Drosophila melanogaster: one gene and its partners. The protein of the gene in region 2 interacts with the protein of the main gene of each other region in a pairwise test. Each region holds a gene or a part of one and is shown on either strand. Other genes may lie near its edges. The genes, in order: corn, Dlg5 and NaCP60E.

Region 1 (6,578 bases), on a different chromosome or scaffold from region 2:
GGCAAAATTGAAAGGAAAGGTAGCTCCAAGAGCTGGAAACTACTTCAAATTCTGAGGATTAAACTGCCTTCAAAAGTGTTTAAATGCTTCAAGAGATGTGCATAATATTCCTTTAAACCCTAGAAACTCTTTTTGTAACCTAAGGAACGCATTAATCACGTTTTCGCGCATATGTCTAAAAATAGGTTTTTATTAGGCTGACAGCGATTGAAATGTATTCCGCCAACGGAATGGAGTCTTTTGTGACAAATGTGCCGCACTTGATTTGTTTCAGATGTGCTGAACCGCCGAGGGCGGAATATCGTTTGTTGGCCTGGTCCAAATGCGAACCGGAATAGACCGACGAAGACCGGAATGAAATTGAAATGGTGACTAGTGAGCTCTTTGTGAAACTCTCCGGCTTAATTAACAACCCATTGCGTTGGCAATTACGCCAACTACTAAAATTATTTGTCATATGGCGGAGAAAGTAGAGATTGCGGCCTGATCTCCAACGCGGCGTTCGGATACTATGGCCTATGGCTGGTCTTCGTTGGTCTTTTAACAGTTTGGGTATCAAAGAAAATGGCTCTTTACGACATGCCATAATACACATAGTTTTCATACCAATGCGAGTAGAAACAATGAGTGGTGTACTTCACGCTCTGCAAAGTTTTTCAGCGGCATGCGCCACACGACACTCCGCTGCCAAAAGTGGCCTAAAGGGGGTGGAAGAGGGGCGGGGCGGTCTTGACCATTGACCAGCAACGCTCAGAGTTGAGCTTGACTGGAGGCAATCCATAAAGCCGAGCCAAAGCCATGAAAGCACACCGCAAAAAATGTATGCCTTATCAACGTAATTCTCAGTAATGCTAAACTCAAATCGATATATATGGCTAAGTAATGACTTTCAATATATTTTTAGACTTTTAATTACTTTGATATGATAACAATATACTCTCACTGTAGATAAGTGTCTGTATTTTCGATATAAGAAAAGTGAACTGTAGATATACATACAACCAAACCATTAGAATAGAACACCCATACAAATTCAATTTTTTCTCGCAGTGCATGCAACGCCGAAAGCGGCACAGACAAAGCGAATGGAATGGAAAGCATCTGGAGACGCCTGAAAGTCTCGCCTGAGAGCCTCGCTCATTGTCAACGCGCGTCTCGAGTGTGTCTTGGCAAGGTTCCAGTCCAGGCCGGGTTTTCGTCTCCAGAAGCGTTCTCTCAAGGCATAAACCTCTGAAATGGTATAGCCGAATGGCCATTGTCTGGAGAAAGACGAGATGATGAGGCTGCAGCTTGAATTCAGCTCTGTTTGCCCTCGTTTATCGTGTTTCCATGGGGTTGCCAAATCACAAACGAGGCGAATCTGGCCATTCAACTGACCTTGAAAACCAACCCAGACATGTGTTCGCTTATGAGTCCGTTACTGATTATAAACAATGCAACATTTGAACAAGGGGTACCAAGCGGAGTGTGGTGTGTCGCCAAAAACAGGCTCAAATCAGTGAGCTGCTAAATTTCGCACACTTCAAAAACTTGTTTATCATAAATTACGGCCATTGTTATTGAGATACCCGCTAATCGGGCACATTTGTATATGTATATCAGGGGAAACACATTGAAAATGCAATGTGTTATTATCTTTTGGGATAGGGGGCAGGCCAGCCAAAGTGGTAAGAAGTGCTAAAGCTGAAAAGTGCTGATAACTCCTATCGCCAATTGGTGTGTGGGAAAGCGAAATGTGTCACACGATTTGTTCGACGAGTGGAAAGTACAAGAACGGTGGCTTGCTTGCTTCTAGCGGCTCTTGCACCGGAAACTGCACTAATTGATGCTTAATTAGCGATTTCCTCAGCTCACTCTCCATTACGACATCCCCCACTTCAAGTCGCCAAGTTGTCGCATTATGGAGTAACGGCTAACATGTCCGCTGCTCCATCAACCGGGGCGCTTATGAATATGGTAAACGCCATTTAAGCAGGCCGGAAAAATGGTAGCATATACCAATTATTAATTCAAGGAAATGGGAATCGATTGAGCACATTGATACTATTTACTTGACAAATGTATATACTTTTCTAAGTAAACTTAAAACGCAATTGCTTGCCTAAATCCATGCAAACATTAAGTATTACCAAACTTTTTAAGCAAAAAGTTTGGTTTTTGCTACATTTCCCTTTGTATCTTTAATGCAAAAACGTCATGCTGACCTCCATTTTGCAGCATAACTTTTTGCAGTGTGTCAAGTTGTGACTGTTTGACTGACTGAGTGACGGACTGACATTAAATTGCACTCTTCCTGATTGCTTCGTCGCTTCAAAATCGATTATCGCCGAAGTCATGCAACTGAAATTATATTCACCGCTTGCCACATCCATATATGTATGTACATATGTACATACGTATATACGCTTTTACATACAAAGTTAACGCTGCATAATGAAGCGGACTACGTGGCTAGGATACAAAATCCGGAAGCCCCTCAGTCCGGCGGTCCTGACCTTTTTAATTTCAGCTAAAAACCAAAGCCGCACGACGCCAACACACCTCTGACCCACCACAACCACCCTCTCGCCCACACGACGATGTGGCTTCAACATAAGACGCAGCTCATATTCGATAACCACTTTCTACCCGCCAATGAGTTACAGTGGAGATTGGGTAAGCTTAACTTTTATCCTGATACAAAAAACAAAATATTTGCTTAAATTTGGCTTGTTACATAAGCAAAACTTTCATTTTCTTCGTAAAGAAAATTAATTGTACTTAAATGCTATGGAAAAACTATAAAATTTTACACGTAAGAGCCATTTGCCTTTCCCCCATATCCCACATCCATTATAAAAAAATATAAAAAGGACATTAAGATTTGTTAATCGATTTCAATTTAAAACTGACATTAACAAACAAAAAAACGATGTATCAGTTGGTATTAGTAAACTTTCTAAGACCAAGTGAAGGCAATTTCTAATCAGTTTGTGCTCAAAGCGATATTCTCTGCAATTTAACTTAGAACTCGCAGAATGTTCTACTTAGTGGCGTTCCACTGTAGCTACTCACCCACGGAGCTGGAGTTGAAGGAGGAAAACTGTGCCAGCGGTTGAGGAGGTTGAGGCTGCTGCTGGAGTTTCGTTCGTTGATTCGCTCGTTTGCTGTTTTGTTTGTTTGTTTGTCGGATTGTTGCTGTCTTTGTCGCTCAGTTGTTGTTCCTTTGGTGGGCGACGATGGAAATGTCAGAGGGTCGCGGTATTGGTATTACGGCCTCCCAGGGCATTCTCTTTTCGCTTGAGTTTTGATTTTTTTTTTTGCTTTGCCTGATAATTCTATTATTGCTCTCGCTCTCTTGGGGGGGAGTGCAAAATAATGGATGGCAATTCGCGGACGGAAATTTGCGAATTTAGCGCGTCGCTTCAATTTTGTGCAAATTGAATGCACAAACACTGAGAAGTGGAGAGAAATTACTAACTTCGGCGTTCTCCCTGTCTCCCACACACACACATACACGTGCACGCGCGAAATTTCGTGACAGCTGCAGCTGGAGAAGAAGAAGAGCATGAATGATCGCTCAAGGACTCGGTATCGTCCTGCCGTTTCCTCTCTCTCTTTCTCTCTCTGGTTCACTTCCTTTTGTTGTTCCGTTTACCTAACACAACGGCTTATTTGTATTGTCAGGACCAACTCACACACACGCACATACACGTACACTAGCGCACTGCAGCTGAGCCCAAAGGAAAAATCGATGATGAATCTGCGAATTAAAAGTCTATAGCCGCACATCGATTAATCTGCAGCTGAAGCGAGTCGCTTTAATTTAGTTTTTCAGCCTTGTTTTTGCTGCTTACGAGGAAAAAGACAGCAAGGCTTCGTTGAAAAACCCGTTCGGCGCGCAGGAAAGTCGGAAAAACGAAAATCGTATAGCGGCTTGGTAACAAAACGCGCCCACTCGCGGAAAACAACAAGTTTAAATATTAATTAAATCGATTTATATTTACTAAATCATAATATACATCGCTATTACTTCATGTAGGCGAGCAGAAGCACACTCCACGTCGAATTTATTGTTCGTTTGCTTAAAAAATCAGTTTCAATTGCCGCAACTCCGTTGGCATTAAAGTTATAACGATGTTTCTTTAATAATATTTTTTAATGGTAACCGAAAAAACAGCGCGCGCTGCTGCGCTCTCCCGAAAAATTACAGAGAGAATGCGTTGCGAGCTGCTTATATAGATTTTTAAAATATCAGAGAAACCAAATGATGGTAATGTAAAAATACCAAAGCCGGGAAATCGCGTTTTAACAGTCTGTTAACAGTCTGGCGTATCACACTGTTAATTCTCTTCAGCGGTTAAATGTATCTATTGGATGCGCCAAATATATCTTATCCATATTAACAGCTATTTTGATTAAGAAAACTTAGACTCGTTTAGTTTTATTTAAAATTTTTTAATAGTTTTGAATTATTATACCTTTTGTCGATTTTTAAATATAAGTAAACGTAAGGAATGATTTTAACCGCTTGTGGTTAAGACTGCATATTTTGGCGGGCACAATTCAAAAGCAATCATGAAAATACCACAATAAAAATACTAGTCTCAAGCGGTAATGTCTTATACGTAGTCTTATACCTTAAAATTAAATAGCAGTTCTGTAAAATATTTAACCGTTTAGTATTTCTAAAATAATGTGCTAAACCTGATTTATGCAATTATTAAGATCCCAAAACATTTTCAAAAAATTGTGTAAATTTCTTAATACTTTATATTCTTAAAATTTTCGATGATTTAAAACGATAAAATAATTGTTTTAAAATTACACACTTGGACGAAATTCAAAATTAAAATTATATCAAAATAATGTCATATTTCACAAAATCGTAAAAAATAATAAAAGGTATGCTTATAAAAATACGCAGAATATTTATAATGCATATAATATGCAGAAATACAAAAGTAAGAAGAATTTCGCAAAAATATGAAATATGTTTGAGGTTACGTTCGGCAATGAAATTATGTAACATTAAAAACACGTGATCAATGGAAGTAATTTCCCAAAAACCCATGAATGCGATTTGGTTAAAAATAGCTCAGATGACGTCACATTTATCGTGTGGTTTGTATGAGTATGTGACTGATAAAGAAAGGCAAATGTTTACAGTCCGAAAGTCGCGATTAGCTTGGCGCCAAAGTTGCCTATAAAAGCTCATCGACCGAATGCCGCAGAAGCCAGTCAAATTCAAGTGTTCAAGTGAAGCAGTCGAAACATAAGCAACAGATTCCGCAGCAGTTATATCCAGTTCAGAGAAACAGTAGTTAATCAGTAATTAAAGTGTTGAGTGAATTTCTTATCGGGTCAGTTGTAAACTAGTGCAAAAATGTCGCAATCCGATAACGTGGCACGTGAGCAAACTGCGGCAAATGCAGGGCCGGATGCATGTCAAGGATGCCGCGGCCAATTGCCAAATGCCACGCCCGTGGAAGTCGAGGACATGGCCTTGCCGTCGATGGAGCGTCTCATTCGAAAGGCCAACATGGCCCAGAAAATGCTGAACGATGTGATGAAACAGATCCAGAAGCAGCAGCAGCAGGAATCTCAACTCTCCATCAAGGAGACCAAGTCCAAGCACCGCAGCTCCGATGGAGGTAAACGACGACACAGAGGACGCAAACATCATAGTCATAGTCATCACACTAGCTCATCTTCCAGTTCCAGTTCCGACCACAGTGACTGCGAGCTGATCCTGGCGGAGAAGGAGGGGCACATGCCGCGGAGAAGACACACGCGAGATGACCGCAAGCGGGATCGTTCCCGGTCTCGCGGTCGCTCCCGTGGTCACTCGCGTGGTCGTTCTCATGGGCGTTCTCGTTCCAGGTCCTACACCGATTCCCGACGATCTCGAGCACTACCCCTGGCTCTGCCCGTTCGGATTTCAGTGTGAGTATCTGGCTTCATTCAGTATTATTCAATATTCATTTTATATATTAAGTGCGCATAAAAAAACCAAAAAAAAAAAAATAATAAAATATATAAAATATGAAAAAAATATTCAAATGAATTCTTTTTAATGGAGGGTGGGCTTATCTTTATTTTGGGTGCAAATAATACATACTGTTCAGGTATTCAAGATAATAAGTTACATTCGTTGATGAAATGCTGATTTAATTTAGCATTCATATTTACCAAAGTTGTGAAATATTTGAACCATTTTTCTGAGAAAATAAAGTTCAAAGTTTTGGAACTGTAAAAAGAAGTTTTTATCTTACCTCCATCAGCCGATTAACAAATAAACAATCGTTTGTTATTTTTAAATATTTCTTATATTTTTTAAATGCCGTTTGTTTTTACATTAATAGTTTTTATTTTGTAGTTGTTGTGCTAATTATATGTTAAACATAAAAATTGTTTCTCCCTCTCGTATAATTACTCGGTTTGTTCTCGTTTTGATTGTGATCTATTAAGTTAATTTCATCTTTTGATTTGTAGACTTTGCTGTGAGTTTGCTCCTTGCAGTCGCAACTTTTCTGTTGTTCTTAATAAATTCGTAAAATTCGATGTTAAATGTAATAAACCATTTCATTGCTTCGTAC
Region 2 (6,584 bases):
GGCCGCCGGACCCGTACCACCGACCATTGATCCCGATCCTACTCCAAAGCCCGCCGATGTCGATGAGGCGTTCATTACTTGCTGCTGGGCCTGCTGACCACTGGTCTTGGGCTGATAAAAATCTCCGCTGGGCGTGATATTTAACGACAGGCGATGGTTACTATGCGGCCTGGTTCCGTAGCGCTCCTGTGAAGGCATTTTAACCCTGGCATTGGCGCCCATCAGAGGGGCTCGCTGGATCGGCTTTTGGTTAATCTCCTCGGCAGTCACACCGTATAGCGAATGCCTCGGATGTGTGGGATAACTAGTGTTGGGCATTCCATTGGGTGGTCCGGGGGGAAACAGTGCCGAGACTCCCGAGCTCACCGGATTAGAATTGCGGTTTGGATGCGTCTTTATAGCTCCTCCGTTCGATCCCCGAATGTGGGCCAGTGGCTTGGACATTTGCGGGGGCAGCGGTGGAGGCAACTGATCCTGGATCAACGCTGCTGGCTGCTTTTCTGGCACTCCAACCTCGCCCATCAGCTCGTCATCCTTGTCCACATTTATGGGACCGGCTGTAAAAAGCGACATCAGAGCACGCTTCTTCTCATTGCCGCGCATGGTGCCCGTTGGGTTTTCATGCGAGATGTTGGTCCGCGGCCAGGTACCCATGCTCTTGGAGGCCTCTTTCTCCTTCTTGGTCCGCTTCTTGCGGTTGAACAGATTCTCCTTGCTCTTCTCAGAGCTGTTTTCACTGAGCACAGAATCCAAAGCAGCGATGGCGTCGTCGTGCTCCTGCTCAAAGTTATCCTCTGGTGTGCCTGGTTTGCTGAACTTAAGCTTTCGGAAGAAAAATTCCGCGAACCTGGACGGATGTTTGGTGGCGCTACTGGGCCCACTTCCTCCACCTCCCCCGGCACTTGAGACATGCTGCATGGAGTCAATGGAATCTGTCTGCGCCGACGAGGTGGTCATTCCCGGGGGTAACTGATCCTGTACGTATTTAAGGGCAAACAGATTGAGCCCATCGCTTCGGGGATCATTCATCAACTGCATCACTTCCTCGATTGACTGCACTGAGTCCATAGACTTGTTGTTAATGCTTAACACTCGGTCGCCAACGTCCAGCTCTGGTTCGTAGAAGGCTAGCGAATTTTGCTCGATCTTTGCAATGAACACTCCCATGTCCAGTTGCAGGCCATGCGGGCAATCCCTATCCCTAGTCTTTAGCTGAACAGAATAGGCGTGCCGTTTGCTGTGACGAGTTCGGGAAACGAGCAGGAGGGAACGAGGAGCACAGGCGCGGATCTCATCAAGAACCATCCGTTTCGACAAAGACTGGCAGTCCAAGTTGTTCACCTTGCAGATCACATCGTTAATCTTGAGCTTCCCGCAGGCGGGGGAACTGCTGGTAACGCCACACACTAATTTTCGCTTGTTGCTGTCATCCAGGATGATGCCCAGGTCGGACGTGTGCTCGTAGCCGGACAGCTCTACTTCCAGGAGATCCTCACCTTCGTAACTGCTTGGGCGGAAACTGCGTCGGGATCCGGAGGCGTTACTGTCAAGATTTTGGCGCTCTTGCTGCTCCATTTGTTCTTTCAACAAGTCGATCTTTTTCTGCGCTTCGTCCTTCTGCTTTTTAATCTTTTCGCTATCCCGGATGGCCATCAGCGAGTCGGAGATGGCTTTATCTCTCTCGTGGCGCATTTTATCACAGAGCGTCTTCACCGAATCCCGCTCCTGCACGATCTTCTCACGTTGCGATATGGCCCAATCCCTTACGCGCTTCGCTTCTTCGGCATCCTGGCTTGAACGCTCCACCTCCGAGAGGGCCTTTTCTAAGCTCTTGCGCAGCTTTTCCAGTTCCTTGCTGTTCTCCAGCTCCTTTCCACTCGGAAATTCTTTGGACCACGAGCTATCGCGAGACTTTAGAAGATCGCGCTTTTTAAGGTCCGCATTGGCCAGCTGTAGAACCTTGATTTCAGCCCTGGCAAGCTGTTCGTCCTTTTTGAGCCTCTCAATTTCTTTGTTGGCCAGAACCAGATCGTCGGACATCTTCTGGTGCTCCTGCAGCACGTTGTCCTTCTCTGAGAGCAGTTGATTAAGCTCCTCGGTAAGGGAAAGCACATTCTTACTCTCCTGGGAGAGAAGAACCTTCAGTTTCTGATTTTCATCGCCTCGCTCCCGGTAGTAGTTGCGATCCTTTTCAAGCTCGATGTAGGACTTCTTGTACTTCTCCCTCTCCACGGCGACCATATTTCGCTCTTTCTTCAGTTCGGCCAGCTTCTCACTGCAGCTTCCATCGCATCCCTGCGTCTTGCCAAAATAATAAGGATTCCCACTGCCGACTGGCGGCACTTGGCTATTTCCATTCTGGGCCTGCTGGCTCTGTTGGTTTTGGGTCTCCAATAGCAGACGCTTGAAACGGGCGCTCTCCTCCACCATATCGGTGAACTTGTTACGATCGGCCACGTAATGCTCCTGGTACAGAGTTAACTCGGTGGCTAACTCATCGCATCGCCTCTTGGTGTTCGCATGCTGGTGGCGTAGGGTATTTAGCTCCAAAAGTGCGGACTTGTACTGCGCCTGCAGTATATCGTAATTTGCGCCGTTTCCACCAGAAATGCCCGACACGCCCACACCGCTACTGACGCCCTTCGAGGGCCCGTTGTTGTTGGACATGTTGGCAGCTGTGGTGCTGCCGCTGGAATTGGACGGCGGTCGTAGGGTATTATCATAGCCCACATACTCCGAGCTCTCTTCTAAAATTAAAGACGCTATGGGTAGGTACTTTAAATGAATACGGCGTCTTACCTTCCTGGCTACTCGTACTAGTCAGCGATAGATCTCCAGATGCCATCTTCGCCATCACAGCATCTTTAGGTAATACTTAACATAAGGGTATGCTGATGAGTAAAAGTACAAAAGATTAATTAGGTTCGTGCTAAAGTTAAAGTTAAGCGAGGTTCCAGGCTGTCTAACTAATTTGTTTAGCGTAATGCATTCTGCTTTCCAATTGGGGTTTGGTTTTTTCTTTGATATGGAGTTCGTTCATCTTATCCGTTTATTTATTAATTTTTAGAAAATTTATTTTTGGTTTATACAATTTTTTTTTAAACATCCAAAGGTGAGGATTCAAACTTTTACCTTTTAACCTTTTATCTAAAATAAACTGTAACTTTTTGTTAACTTTACTAGTAATACTATTTTGACCATTGCTGTATTTTTTGAAGTGTGCGAGTAAGTATGAAAAGCAAGGCATTGGAAAAACGAAACTTTCACAATTTTTGTGAAACCGCGATTTTCACAATCGAACGAATCGAATTTAAATACAACCGCAATGGGGAATGAGAAAATGGGCGGGAGTGGGCGTGGGTAGGCAGTAGGGAGAATGGGGATAGGTGGCGAAGTGTAGAAAAAAGGGAAGTTACGCAGTTTTTGGTAACTCTTACAAACGGCTATTGCTTGCGAAAATGAAATGTGTGGCAATTAAGCAGTCGAGTTAAAGCATCGAGACTAAGCTAAAGAATTAATTGAAGCAGCCGAGCAGAAAGCGTAAATTAATAGCAACATGTATGCACACACACACACACTTACCGAAACACCAACACACTCGCAGGCGGGCAAAACAAGTTGGCCGAATGAAAGAGAAGAAAAGCTGGCGAACACACAATGGTGGAAAGCACTGCGAGTTATATAAACCCTTTTTTTCCTTGATTGGAGTTTATCTTGGCCCAGCAGCACGCCTATTTGTCCAAAAAATAGGAAAATATAGCGTATTTTCCTTTACATCGAAAATCTTATTACGCACACTCACACACACGCACGCGAACGCAACAGCTGAATGGGCGCGCGAAAGAGAGGGGACGAGCTCCACCCCAATTCCAGCCCTGCGGGAAAGAGAGGGAGAGATGCAACAGGCGGACGTTGAACGGGACAACCGACGACTTTTACCGTTTTCGCTCGCGCATCCGGATTCCGGAAGTTGAGTTTCTTGGATCGTTGGGCGAAAAGTCAACCTCTACGGTGCACGACACTCTTGGAAGAACACTGCGACGAAAGCGATGACGAATGGCCAACGAAAATTGAACGAAATGAAATAAAAAAAAACAACACAACTTCTTCACTAAAACGTCACCAGTGTGACCGCGGAGTGACCGATAAATAATACACTCTGTCTCTTTAGACAATATTAAAATCGATAGTATTGTTTAATATCGATTCATTAGCCCAGCTTTCTTAAAAAACAAATAAATCCCGAATGTAAAATGTACATATAAGATCATTCCTTCTATATCGGAACTGCCGCTCCTCTTTACGAACGGCTGGCAGCGCTGTATATGTGTACTAAGTGGGAGTGTGTACACGCTAAGTTGGCGCGCAATCGTGCTGGAAGTGTCTTCGCTTAGCAATGTTCCAAACCCATTAGAAAACTTGGGAGATTTTAATCAAATATAATGATATTATTACACAATATTTAGTTCAAACCGTTGTTGTTTATTTTGTTCTTTGTAATTTTTAATACTTTTTGCAACTGCTGCACTTTGCGCAAGTTGCACGCACTAACAACCTTTTGGAAAATGGCCAAGCCAGGGCGAGCAAAATTTTTATTCATTAAAAGTAAAATAATACCCAAGAAGTTGGTCAATTTGCAGGGCAAAAGAGATCGAAAAAAGGTAGTCAACGATGCGAGCGCCAAGAAGGTTGCAACTTCCGGCGAAAGCCACATAACTAGTATAATGAGCATCCCGAGTCATAGTACGGATTCCGATGAGCGTATCGCATCCACCGCGCCAAGTGTCTGGAGTACTTCAGTACCCATACCCATTCCTTCCTCCCAACGAGGAATGCCCAAACAGAATGTTCGCAGATCGGTGGTCTCCATAAGCTCGTTACCATCGAAAAAGTCAAGTAGCGCAGTTAAAAGGAAATTATCTTATATAGAAGAACAGCCGTTTCATTTATATAAGCTTAGGAAACTCGAAGCCAGCGCGGAAACTCAGCTTAAAATAGTTCATTCACATCCGCACTTAACTAGTTCTACGGACAGCGTGGAGGAGGCGACCAATCAGAGTGATGGCGATAAAATGGACTCGGAATTGGGAAATACCACGGATCACGAAGACCAAATGAGTGTATCCTCCGACTCGAACATAAGGATGCGCTTTGATATCCTCCAAACCCTCAGGAACATTCCCGATTGGGATGAACTTAGTGATATCGGGACTACAGATCACAATCTGGGCATCGATAAGAAGAGTGTGGAAATGCAGCAGGTGCCGGGCTCGGAACTAGAACAGTTACAGATTCAACTGGCCCGCAAGTCGTTGTCCTCGTCGATGGAAAGCCTCATTCCCAGCGAATCCAATTATGAAGCACCTTCCTCGCAAAACGATGACGATGTGCATGGTACGGAGATACCATCGCCCTCAGGACTAGAATCTGTTGACGAAAGCGATTGGAGATTGCAGGGAATGCAATTCAAATCGAGTCATGTGGCCACTTTTAAGGACATTACATCTGAGTCCAGGTCCTCCACATCTAGCCTCAATTCCATCCCTACGACTTTTTCCATCGGTCAAATGGTCCAAAGCTATCTGGATGGGCTTATTGAGAAAGTTGTGGACATATTCGTTAATACAGACTATTTGCGGTCAAAAAATCTAGACAAAAGTAAGCTAATGAATCGCCTGTTCAAGGAAGTCGAGGATCACCACTGGGTGAGCCACGACAACAATTTACTGACCAAACGACTGACGGAACACCACCTGCGTCGATTTAAGTACTCCCTCGTAACGCCGAGCAGCAGATCCTACATCAACGAATCCCAACGGAGTCGGTACTTGGGTGCCCTAAACGAATTGGATCATTGGCTTAACAGGACACGACAGGCTGAGCAGATGCACCTGGCTGAAAAGGAACGACTGCTGTCGGAATTGGAGCGGATGCAACGAGAGGACAACGAGAAGATCGAGAGGCTGGAGGAGATCTTCAGAAGCACATTACTGCGGGACAGCCAACCGTCTGAACGCCTTCGCTTTGTGAGTCTTCAAAATCGGATTAAAAATTAAACAAAAACACTTTTATTGTTTAATTAGGTAACGGAAACCGCTCTTAAACAAATGAGAGCAAAACGCGATGCGTTGTCTGCGACACGACTGATTTTGATCATAAGGCAGCATGACAATTCCTACATTAAAAAGGTCGAAATTACAAAATAAAAATAAGTTGGCTGACTAAAAAAAAGGGTTTACCCACAGAAAGTCGATGAGATTGAGGCGATTTCTGGGGAAGTCAAATTGGAAACCTATCTGTCCGCGGATAACGACGTTCAGCAGATGGTTACCACTCTAAACAGTGAGTTAAATAAAACGTAACAAGTATCTATCTATTTTAATTTTATTTACAGATAAAAACGCTGAACTGGAACGCATGTGTACGCTGGTGAAAACCAAAATCCATACCATTTCCCATCTGCGATGTCGACGGAAGCTGCTGAATCGCAAGTTCAGGGAGGCCAAAGATGAGTTACGAGAAAGGCAAAAACGGCAAATAGCATTGCGCGATGAAGTATATAATTGTAATCTAACACACAATAA
Region 3 (6,330 bases), on a different chromosome or scaffold from region 2:
GAAACTCCAGACCTGCCGTCGCATCTTCACGCGGAAGCAAAGTCATTCTCAAAGCGCCCAAAAACAAAAAGGAAATTGCACACCGATACAGAAACTAAAAGCAACTAGCGACGTGCAATGTCGTGGTTTTCCCAAAAAACCAGTTGCATCCACACACAGAGAGAAAAAGGTGTGCTACAAGTGATTCACGAGATTGTGGGCAACAGTTTTAGAATTGTGGGGAAAGTCTTGAAAAAGTCAATTCGATTTTCTGCTATATTATGGTGCTCTCTTGATACTCCTTATGTACTGCATGCTTTGCTTCGGATTTCCTGGTTTAACTTTCAAAGTTTGTTGTTTAAAGTGCAGCCATTGTTGCAGTTGCAACTGGCATTGCTGCCTCTGTTGCAGTTGCAGCTGCGCAGACCTTTGAGCAAGTTCAATGGTGACGGGAATGGGAATGGAAATTGAAATGGGATTGGGATTTGGACTCGGAGCGGAGGCTTAGGGGGTAGGGCAATTACGCCCCTCGCAGTTGGGGCGCTTGCTCTCGACTGCTTCCTGGCCCTGGCCAAAAACCAAATCCAATTCGAGACTGGCAAGGCGGAAAGGAAGGTGGTCGGTCCAAGCCCCAGCCCAAGCCGAGCCGAAGGAGAAACCGAAACACTGGCTGCAGTGATGCGGGACAAACAAAAGTGAAAAAGTGAATCGGTAGGATAAAGCGAGATGCAGCAACAATTGCTCTACATATTTAATTAGTTTCCGTTTCCGTTCATATTCGTAATCCGCAGATGGCAGCGCCTGCTGGCCTTTGTGCATTGTTCACCTCCCCAGTGAATATACTCCGCTGACAATGGCGCCCTGCGCCCACTTATCAACCCAAGGCCCACCCACTCACTCCTGCTGTAAGGACAAATGGCGCTCTCTATCGGCGCCTGCAAAAACGATTGCGTAACTTATGGCCAGTCATCAGCCGAAACTTTTCGGTCCGACAAAAGCGCTTCCCATTTTCGATTTGTTTATCATTTATTTAAACGGCCTTAGGGTCACTCTGCCCCGCCATTAAGCTGGTTCGATTCCATTTTCGTTTTATTGGCCAAGACCCAGGACACAGGACCCAAGTGCCCCAGACCCAAGCACATGCCCCGTATCCAAGGCACAACCGGCACACAATGAGCAATGCTATTTAATTATGTTGATGAGCAGGACCGGACAGCAGGACAGGAGTTCGGGAAGTGGCAGGAAAACGCTCAACACGCACAAAAAGGAAATGCCTTTGGTCCCCCCACCCCAACTGCCTTTTATATGGCACTGTGGGTGGCTGTTGAAGAATGTCAATCTTTGAGCTCATAACTTGACCTGCTAGTTTATTCTTAAGCCAATTGTTGGTTTCAGGGATAAAAATATGCAGAAGTGAACTTAAATAGGCCGAGAAATTAATAAAATTGTAAAAAATAAAACAAACTTGCTCTCTATGGAAAGAAGTCGTGCAACTCCAGTCAAAAGACTTCTGTGTGTGCAGAACCACTGTGCACGTCTTTCTTTTGGTTGGCGTGCAGGTGTCGCTGTCAGGATGTCGGAGGACCTGATTGAGGAAGGAGAAGGAGCAGAAGTCCTGCCCTGTGACACCTGCCCCCTGACCATGCATACTCCCGCATACAGATTTGATGGCCTCCCGGTTACCCAACTCCCCCCTGGTCACATCGGGAATAATATTTATGAGGCCGGGTGGCTTAGAAAACTATCAATAGCAGTATCAGGAGGGCTTAGCGGTTAGGGGACTCACCTTTCTCATCGTTGAACGTCGCTTGATCATCACTCATCTTGACTGATTGTCGTCGTTTTGTTGGGTGCTGCCTCTGGTTGCGGTTGCTTCTTGGTCCTTCGACTCCGTCGTCGTCGTCGTCCTGGGCGAGGTCCTTAGGGCAGCTGCATGCCTTGGTCGCGCTCTCTTTTGCCAGGCTTCTCACTCGATTTTCGAACACTGGGCATATGTCTATCTCACTATTCAAGCGAGTCGATCGCTCAGTTTACCGATTATATTGTCACCGTTCCCTTTGTTAACCATGTTGTGCCTAGTATCTACTATTGCTGTTGCTATTGTTGCTGTGCTTATCACGCTTGGGGCTTTCATGATGTCTGCTGCTATTGCTATACTATGCAAATCTTATGACTACGACCGTTTCCAATAATGGCATTTGGCATCGTCCCAGCTCAGTTGCTCAGCCTGGTCGTCTACTTCTATTGTGAGCTTTGGCTTTGTTGTGCTGATTATTGCTTTACATTTTGCGATGCGATGCGTATGTTTTCTAAACGAGAGAAAGAGATTGATGTAAGTGGAAAGATTTAAGCTTATGCAAGTAGGGGGAATGAGAGTAAATTAAATCGCCTCTGCCCGCAATTGCTCTGCGTCGTGTCATGTAACGTTAATTGGCAGCGCGCTAATCCCCTACAGCTCAAAGCACCCGAACCAAGGCACGCGGCTCACACTCAGAAAAAATCTTCAGATTGATGACCTTAAAATAAAAAAAAGGTGTCCTTTGAACACATACGATTATAATTTCTCTTCATTCTGCCAATTTTTTTCAAATACCAAGCCTTTTTATTTCACTACTACTACTATACTGTGAATTAATACAAGACAATCGAAAAGAGGAACAAATGTACGGATTTGGTTCCGTGAAACAAAGATAGCAGTCAGCACTCAATGGGGACTTCCTCAAGACTGAGAAAAACCTTTCTGCCAGTGCAGTACGTATACGCAACGTAACGACTCACTCGGCCAACGTATGTGTTATGTGCGTAACGGAAGAGATAAGCACCTGAAGGGGAAGAATGCGAATTGTGGCGAGGGCCGGGAAATGAGTGCCGCTTCAAGACTTAAAGCTTGAGCGAGATAAAGTTAATTAACATTATGGGCACACCCATACACACAATCTAGCATCTTCTCCACAGACGCACACAACACAAGTAAGATACAAGAATTGATAAATGGCGCCCAACGAAAAAGCAATGAGCTTGCGTAGGCTGTGGCGTGGGTCGGGGGCTGCTCATTGCTCAGCGCTTTGTTGATGCTGCTCCCGGCATTGTTGTGCATATATGGGCATGTGTATGGGTGTGTAGGTGCTTGTGTAGGCCGGCGCTTCCTGTTGTGTTTCTCGCAAACTTCTTGACACGTCTGCGAGCAACTGGCAACTCGCAACTGGCAGCAAAAATGGAAAAGCGGTAGATGAAGGCGCCCATAAAATATTCAATATTAAGTTTCCAACACCCCGTTATGGCAGTTGATGTGATGTTTGCTGGCGGAAATTCGCTGGCAGTGGCAGGGATGTGCCATTACGCCTGGAGGCTGGGCTGTCGTGTGCCATTGGAGATCCACCTGCATTTGCTGGTCTGTCCCAGACACACACAAATCGGCAAAAACACTTTTATTACAACAATGAGAGCGGCGCTCGAGGCATTAAGCAGTGTGTTGTTGGCTTTCAATTGTTCGGTGGGGTCTTTCTCTTTGGGGCGGGGATACTCGCTTCTGTTTCTGGTTTCTGCTTTCTGGGCGTGACCAGCGGTTGGTTTTAAAGTTGGCTCATAAAAGTGCGGCTGGCAGAGCTTTGCCAGTTGGCCCCTAAAGTTGTGCTACGAATTTTGTTATCGGTCCCCTTCCGCCATTTTAGCTCTCTCCTTCGTGCGAACAGAACGAAGCGCTTCGAAACGAAGAGAAAGTGTGGCCACCTAGTTAAGTGCACATCAAGGGCTAATTTATGACCAGGACATTGCTGTTGCGTTGGAACCCAAACTTCCCCCCAAACACTAACACACGCACACGCGTATGAATATCCGATTTTACCTTTAAGCATTGGCCATCAATTTTTTTTTATTCTCCGCTGGTTGCAGTTGTCGGATGTTGGGGATGCTAGTTGGGCTTTATGTAATCGCTTGTGTGTTTGCACTCCGGCAATTTCTATTTCTATTTTCGTATTTTACTTTCTTGGGCCTGCAACACACGAACACAAAGCACATTTGCACACGTTCGCCTTCACTCGCACTTTAACATCGACTTCCCAACACTGGCTCAATCACCATTCCCGATCCAGTTGTTTTTTCTCCTGCTGCTGTTTTATTTGATTTTATTTTACATTAATTACATTTTTATTTAGTCGCAACTGTGCAACAATGTGACTGTGAGTGGGTGGGGATGTTGAAACGGAACCAGCAACAAAAACAGAACAAAGCAAAAAACTTCGGGCACGCACATTGTTTGACACACGCACACACACACATGCAAAAGCCTACTGGCAGTCTAAGAAGTGTTATTACAATTTACTGTTGATTTCTTTCGCGGCCCAAAGGGTGAGTGCGAAAGAGATAGCACGGTGGCCTCTCTGGCACCGCACGTGTGCCTGTGTGTGTGTCAGCAAAAGCGTGCGAAAGAGCGCGAAAATGTAGGTTAGTTTCCGTCGTGGCCTCTCCCCCTCCCTTAAGCAACTCAGTAGCAGCAACAACAATATGCAGCACACATTTCACTCTATTTTTGGGCGCTGAAGAATTTTCATCGCACCGAATAATGCACTTGTGATGGTAACGCGCTTCACTGTGCGGCTGTAGGGGTGCGAGTTCCGCGCTATGTTCCATGCCCTTTCAGGCTTTTTACTGCCTTTCACTTTTCACTTTTCACCATATTCCTTGATTTTTTCACTTCATACTAGGACACTATGACACTGGGCCACTGTAAATACGTGCGCTTGCATGGCGACTGCTCGGTTCTAAGGTTTGTCGGAGACTGAGCTCGGCTAACGGGTTTCCTTTCCGTTTGACGTAATCTGCAGGGCGACCACGATGCAGAGCGATGAAAAAATACACACGCGAACTTCCCCCTATTCTCTCGAAAAGGACTCGTGCGGGAAATGCTCTCACGCTCGCCTTCGTGAGCAGAGTCCCCCTGCGCCCTCACGTTTGCTTGTAGGTCAGCCGGCATAAACAAATGCCGTGCCACATGCAACACGAACGACGAACTTCCCCATATTTCTCCGATTTAAATTCCGAATGCTCCGCTGGTGCACCGCGGGGCAAAGGACTACCTCCGCTGTCTCTTCTTCGGAAGGAATATGTCAAAATGATTTTGCTTGAATATGGGCCACTGGCTAACAAAACCAGCAGCTGTTAATCAGTCTATTATGGTGTAAGGATGTCTTCCCCGCCGTGCCCACTGCGATTTCCGCCTCGGGCTGGCACACTCAGCGTATAAATAATGCCAAGCTCGTAACGTATACGCAACGTTTGCTTGGAGAGATCGCTAGCTGGGTTTCTTTCCCAATTACAGATAAGCTCAATGCCCCGGACTTAGATTGATAAGCCTGCGGCTCGACTGGCAGTCTGGACTCAGTTCTGCTCGAGCTTTCGTCAGAGTCGGAAGCAAATCCCAAGTCGCATTCGAAAGCACTCCGATAACCTTATCAAGGCGAAACGGAAGCCAGCGAAGGCAAAATGCGGTTGCCTTTTTTAGGAGTATCGCTAATCCTTCTGCTCTCCGTGACCTTCGGAATCGGCCAGTCCAGCTATGAACTGGCTACCAAGCAGATACTTGATAGAGCCAAAGACCGCATGCGCCACGTGTGGAGTCTGAACCGCAGGATCTTTGTGCAGCTCACGGCCAAAGGAAAGTCACCTCTGGGCGGACAGGTTCTCAACTCCAAGCTGGAGGTAGAGGCGGAGACCTATCGACTATTTTACGACTTAGCGGGCAATCTCAGCGTTGTGTCAGTGGCTGAATTGAATGACCCACTTCTTCGTAGGCGCGTGCAGCGAATGGCCAAGTTGCAGCTGCAGGGACTGCGGCCAAAGGACTACGAGCAGGCCAAGGACCTTCTACGTCAGATCCATAACTTTGTCAACGGACCCCTGGTCTGCCCTTACGAGGACTGCTCCGCCCGTGGTTCGCTGGCCATGTACCCGCAGATCATGAACAAAAACATGCACACCAAGCTATACGAGGATCTGGTCATCAACTGGAAGGCCTGGCGCAGGGCCATTAACGAGAAGGACGTGGCCAAGAACACGTTCATCGGCTACGTTAGGCTTCTCCGGATCGCTGCCACTTACAACGGGCATGTGACGCCCTCGCGCACGTGGTACCTTAACTACGACACGGAGAACTTTCAAGCTGAAATGGAGGCGGTCGTGTGGGAGATAATGCCGCTATATCGAGAACTGCACGCCTATTTGCGTCGCGAGGTGCAAGCTGCCTACCCAAAGGCGGACACAAAGAGCGATGGCGCCATCTCCGCTCCCATTATGGACCAGATCCTGTCGCAGGACTGGTATCCTCACCAGTTCTTTCGCACACCGCACCAGGGC

Evidence for each region.
Region 1: the proteins of Dlg5 (region 2) and corn interact in a two-hybrid assay, tested with the Drosophila melanogaster proteins (one large-scale study listed by BioGRID).
Region 3: the proteins of Dlg5 (region 2) and NaCP60E interact in a two-hybrid assay, tested with the Drosophila melanogaster proteins (one large-scale study listed by BioGRID).

Annotation. Positions count from the first base shown.
Region 1 is NT_037436.4:7,152,882-7,159,459, forward strand, and holds the start of corn (cornetto), read right to left. Parts: upstream 4,193-6,578; 5' UTR 3,055-4,192; intron 1-3,054. Other genes in the region: CG8620 (uncharacterized protein), read left to right, coding at 5,366-5,929.
Region 2 is NT_033779.5:11,512,927-11,519,510, forward strand, and holds the start of Dlg5 (discs large 5), read right to left. Parts: upstream 4,156-6,584; 5' UTR 3,940-4,155; exon of another isoform or gene 3,876-3,939; 5' UTR 3,797-3,875; exon of another isoform or gene 3,732-3,796; 5' UTR 3,583-3,731; intron 2,892-3,582; 5' UTR 2,855-2,891; coding exon 2,800-2,854; intron 2,748-2,799; coding exon 1-2,747. Other genes in the region: CG4970 (uncharacterized protein), read left to right, coding at 4,566-6,026, 6,084-6,188, 6,246-6,342, 6,395-6,584.
Region 3 is NT_033778.4:24,890,042-24,896,371, reverse strand, and holds the start of NaCP60E (Na channel protein 60E), read right to left. Parts: upstream 4,759-6,330; 5' UTR 4,535-4,758; intron 4,089-4,534; 5' UTR 3,824-4,088; intron 2,289-3,823; 5' UTR 1,803-2,288; coding exon 1,766-1,802; intron 1-1,765. Other genes in the region: Ance-5, read left to right, coding at 5,461-6,330. UniProt on the Drosophila melanogaster protein: Mediates the voltage-dependent sodium ion permeability of excitable membranes. Plays a role in processing of olfactory information during the olfactory avoidance response.